2 linked regions of the Kluyveromyces lactis genome follow. The main gene of each other region encodes a partner of the protein of the gene in region 2 in a complex. Links are inferred from orthologs where the notes say so. Each region holds a gene or a part of one and is shown on either strand. Other genes may lie near its edges.

Evidence for each region.
Region 1: RPA34 (region 2) and RPB8 share a complex: the UniProt entries of both Saccharomyces cerevisiae proteins name them as parts of the RNA polymerase I (Pol I) complex. The link is inferred for Kluyveromyces lactis from reciprocal best matches to the Saccharomyces cerevisiae genes RPA34 and RPB8.

Annotation. Positions count from the first base shown.
Region 1 is NC_006040.1:610,516-612,987, forward strand, and holds RPB8 (DNA-directed RNA polymerase core subunit RPB8), read right to left. Parts: upstream 1,025-2,472; coding exon 587-1,024; downstream 1-586. Other genes in the region: KLLA0_D07117g (mitochondrial fission process 1 family protein), read right to left, coding at 1-54; putative iron-binding protein ISU2, read right to left, coding at 1,833-2,375. UniProt on the Saccharomyces cerevisiae protein: DNA-dependent RNA polymerases catalyze the transcription. of DNA into RNA using the four ribonucleoside triphosphates as substrates.
Region 2 is NC_006037.1:552,831-555,538, reverse strand, and holds RPA34 (DNA-directed RNA polymerase I subunit RPA34), read left to right. Parts: upstream 1-1,551; coding exon 1,552-2,136; downstream 2,137-2,708. Other genes in the region: rRNA-processing protein LAS1, read left to right, coding at 1-259; transcription factor TFIIE subunit TFA2, read right to left, coding at 2,241-2,708. UniProt on the Saccharomyces cerevisiae protein: DNA-dependent RNA polymerases catalyze the transcription of DNA into RNA using the four ribonucleoside triphosphates as substrates. Component of RNA polymerase I (Pol I) which synthesizes ribosomal RNA precursors.

The sequences.
Region 1 (2,472 bases), on a different chromosome or scaffold from region 2:
CTTCTGAACCGGTATATCCGTATCAGTTTCTACCATGTCTATTATCTCTGACATTCAACTTGACTGAATAATGCACCCTTGCCTATCGCCAAAGAATCAAAAAAAATATGGATTGAACACTAATAACCCCTGTATATGGGTAACCTAACAAAATAGACCTTCTTCTATATTTATATATCTACTGCTAATATGCTCCTTCAACGCCCGTCTCGAATATTTTGCCATCAACTGGCAATGGCCGAACCCTATTTATTGAGGTCATTGGATCCTAACTTTTCTATTTTCGAGAAAAAAGACGGCTTTAACAGTTTCTATGGTATCTCCTCTTATACAAAGAAGCACAGAATTGAAGAATCCTCGAGCAAAAGAAAGAGCAACTTCGTTATGCTGTGGTGACTGGAAGTAAGAACAGTTTGAAGATAGGAAGCTAAGATGGAAAGTTAAAAATGCATTAATATATGAGGAGAGGTGTAAGTAAAGGCCGTAGCTTCCGGAGGAGTGAAGAACCAGAGCTTTGACCTGAAAGTCTATTATACAGTTGTCGGTTTTCTATTTTGACTATGATATATAGTACCCACAAGATTTCTTACTTACGACACAATAAGTAAGCGTTTTCTTGTTTCAAGTTGTTCAAAAGTCTATAATTTCCCTCAAGTCTCATCAACAAGCCACCAAATGAATAGTATACTGCAAGCAAATCCTTGTTACCCTTAACTTCTTCGAATTTGTAGGCAGTTCCGTACATGACATAGTCATAATCATCTGCAAGAGATCTGGTTCCAGCAGGTGGTGCTCTCCAAGAGGTACCCTGAGGTTCCTCCGATCCGTCAAGTTGGAGAGAAGTTGTGATCATGACTGCAAGTTGATCTTGAGTCTTTATTGGGAACAATTCACTGTTGATATCCAATGTTAACTTACAGGATTCTTGTGAAGTCGATTGAGCTTCAATACGAGAGACCTTGTTGTATCTTCCTGTGTCCACTTCTTGAACGGTGAAAACGTCATCAAATAGTGCCGATGACATGACGTGTGTTGGTAAATGAGAGTACTGTTGTGTTGGTTCTAGTTATTAAAGTCGGTGGGCCAGTAGGAACACAAATGAGAGACGAAAAAGAAGGGAACTTATCGGAGAGTCTGTAGTGGGTATGAAAGGTTTCAAACTAATAATTTCACTGCTGATATGAGACTATCTACAGTGAGCCGAATCGAAAGCGCATCACATGTATATGATTGTCTGTCTCTCAGTTGTTCCTTCAGGCGATGAGTTACAACGAAATTTTTCAAGATTTTTCTTGCCCATGAAAAAAATATGTGTCCGGGTAAAAGAAACAACTTCGGGTAACGCTAATCAATTTGCCATCCCTTAGAAGTCCGAAGAATCCAGGATACAGAGAGACGGTCCGCTCAACTCTGCAACTAGTTGAAACGCTTGTCGGAACAGTCTGGATGATTATAATACAAATGATGAATGAACCTACATGTTAGTTATACACTAGATAACAACTGTTGTAAAAAAAAGGGTAGCCAAAAAAAAAAAAAAATTACGAATCATGGGCAGTTGATAAGGCACGATAAATGGAAGTACCTAATCTTGGAATTTAGCTCTCCTAGATAGCTTTCAGAAACTGTATGATATATTCGGAAAAATATAGTGTTCGATTTAACTTTGTAGTGGAGTTAAAATGCGAGGGAAAATCGTAAGTCAAACCAAAAGAATTAAGGGAAAGACGAGTATGCTAAAGTCCATTCAATGGACAAATGAAAGTTTGAGCCGGAGAAGCAATAAGAAAATTAGAGATTAACTAATTAATTTAACTCTTAACTCTAACACTCTATTTCAACTGTGTTGTAGGTCTCTTAGCCTGGTAATCCTTGATGGCAGCCTTGATGGCATCTTCAGCCAACATAGAACAATGCAATTTAACCGGAGGTAAACTCAATTCTCTGGCGATTTCTGTATTTTTAATCTTTGCTGCATCTTCCAAGGTTTTCCCACGGACCAATTCGGTCATGTATGAAGAAGAAGCGATGGCAGACCCGCACCCGAACGTCTTGAACTTAACGTTTTCTATCACTCCTGTTTCGTCGTTAACTTGGATTTGCAATTTCATCACATCACCACAAGCTGGGGCACCGACAAGACCCGTTCCAACATTTGGCAAATTCTTGTCTAGAGACCCAACATTTCTTGGGTTTGTATAATGATCAATGACCTTTGGATGGTAAAATCTAGCAGAGGCCATGGAAGGACTAGAGCCGACGGTAGGAGCAGTTGCTCTAGCAGCTGCTACACCGATTATTCTAGTTCCGCCTCCACCGCCGTGCATTAGTGCACTTCCCATCCTCTGTACTGCAAACATTTGTCCTCTAAACATTTTTAATTATGTGTATGTGTTTTGAATGTTGATCTGTTATCCTGAACTACTAAACCTTGATTCAATATCTGGATTATTGAAGATCTTCGCTCTTGCT
Region 2 (2,708 bases):
TGAGATAGACGCGAAAAAAGTTATTGAAGAATTTGAGGCAAAGGGGATCAGGAACGTTGAATTAGAGCTCTACAATTCAAGGAAAAGGACGTCTTCTGAAGAAATAGAGCCTGTTTCGGAAGATTCCCCGGCCTTGGATATATTGAAAGACTTGAATGAATTGAAAAATCAGTTCAAAAAGATCAAACAAAGCAATGCCCCCATCTCCAACTGGCAAGAAGTCACCGAGTGGACGCCTAGACCATTTGGCGTTTTGTAATTAGTATAATTAAGCCTTTTAGATACATAAGACAAAGCAAGAAAGATTGACAGTTCTACAGGTTCTGCGATGATAACAGGATTGAAAATGGAAATGGATAATAACATATAAAAAGATCAGACATCCTAGGAAGGTCTCAATAAAGAGCGGTCACTGAAGAGTACTAACGATGGGTTCGTAGGCGTACTCCTACCGTGGAAACTGCGAATGTAAAGGAACCAATTTTCATCATATAAAAAAATGTTAAAATCCATAACGCACAATCATGTTCTTAGCTAAAAAGAAGAAGTGAAACGTTTTGAAGAAATAAATGCAACAGAAGATACGACGATGGATCTTGTTTCACTGTTACTTTGACCTTAAGAAAACTAAAAAGAGAAAACTCAGATGATCTAAATTGTACATGTCAAAGCATGTACTGGCTTAAAAAGTCGTTGCCCCGTAAGACAACAACATGGTAGACTCCCATATCGTCATGGTCGATATCGGACTGGGAAAGAAGTGTAGACCGTTTTCATCATCGTTAAATGTTTTGAAGTTCTTTCGTAAGGTATGAAGTAATAATGAATCCCACGTATATGCAAACTTTTACGTTTATTTCTTCATGGAAAAGGTCTCTTTTCCAAGCGTAACATAGACGAATCAGTGTTTCACGGCTGTGAAACACTGCTCCATCAAGGATACTATAAAGCTCACTTGCCAACAGCAAGTGAGGCTAGAGAACAACCTACAGAACTTTTCAATACCTAACCTGGATAAATGGTTTGATGAGTTTAACATGTCTAGTTTGTTTCTCATTACCAGCCTTTTTATATTCTTCGTGTCGAAGAAGCATGGAAAAAATTTTTGGAATAATTGCGTCGTTCGACATGATAATACAGTAAACCAAGTACTTAGGGCATCGATGTCATACCATTCAACGGGAATCATAGTATTAGTGATCCAATAAATGTTGCTCGAAGGCTGTTCAAGTCGGACATACCATTTCTCGATGGTTTGTGATGAACTGGAACAGATTTCATGAATACGATAGTTTGTTCCACGTGTTAACCACGTGCATTTTCCCGGGTAACGTCTAAAAAGAAAGAAAAGTCTTTCCCAAGATGAAAAAATTCGGTTTAAGCTCATCTCATCTCATTGCAGATTCAAATAGACACACAGAGGCAGATAAGTGAGGTTCTGTGTGGTCCTAGGGTTCCAATTACAGTTTAACTAGTTCAGGTGAGTTTTTGTTACACCCTTCCCTGTAATATTATTCCACTCGCAAAACGTTATAAGAAATATCTCAAACAATGGCCAAGGTCGACAAAACTCTTTCAAAGGAATACATCAGTGATAGCGACAGCGATAATGATGGATCATCAGAAACTGTAACGGACGTTTTCGTTCCACCTGAAAACTATAAGAAATGTACACATTTGAAATCATTCGTGAAGCCTAAGAACTTGAAGCAAAAAGAACTTTGGCTTATCAAACTTCCTAAATCTTTAGATGTCTCTAAGCTTTCGAAATTACCTATTGATTTCACAGCGGAGTCGGAAACTGGCATCGAACAAAAAGGTAAACATTTCTCTGTGAAGGAGGAAATCCAACAAGAAAATTCCACTTCTGGTGCATCTTCTTCTTCTGAATTGACATTATTGACTCCTGTAGATAAGACAAAGTTGACCGTCGATTCATCTGCATCAAGATCATTTGATAAGATCTTTACCATAAGCGAAACTGCAAAGATTCCAAGCATTGATTATTCTAAGGTAAGAGTGGATAGAAAGGATGTGTTGAAGGTTAAGGGTCTCAAGACTAGACATTTCGCAACTGGGTATTACGAGGATAAAGATTTGAAGAAAGTTAGCAAAAAAAAGAGAAAGCACGACTAGAGCACTCGTTCTGGTCTTTCTGTATATTATTTATATATAACGCACTGGTCATATTTTAATTTGGGTTATATGTAGAATACGTTCATTATAAAAAGTAGGTATCTTCATACCCTATCGGAATAATCTCTCAATATACCAGCCATATGTGTATTGGTAACTTTACCCTTTCTTGATCTACGTTTCTTGACCTCTTTCCTTGTGGTTTGCTCATTCTTGATCGTAGCAGGATCCACACTAGCAGGCTTGAGACCCAAATCTTGTAGTTTTCTTGGTAATTCACTACGCTGAGGTAGCTTACAAGCTTCCCACATCGTAACGAACTCTTCATCGATTTGCCTTGATGGACCAGCATGGTTATACCAGACAAACCTTGGAGAATTATCCTTCTTTGTCCGAAGAACAAGGATTCTGTTCTTTGCTTCTAACTCGTCGATTGTATCAAAACATTGTGGCCAACCATCTTTTAACTCTTTACATGATATACCCTTGAACGTCGCCTGTGATCTTAATAGTTGTAGCAATTCCTCCGCAGAATGCACATCGTAAATGGATACGTACTGTAAAGTGTTCCT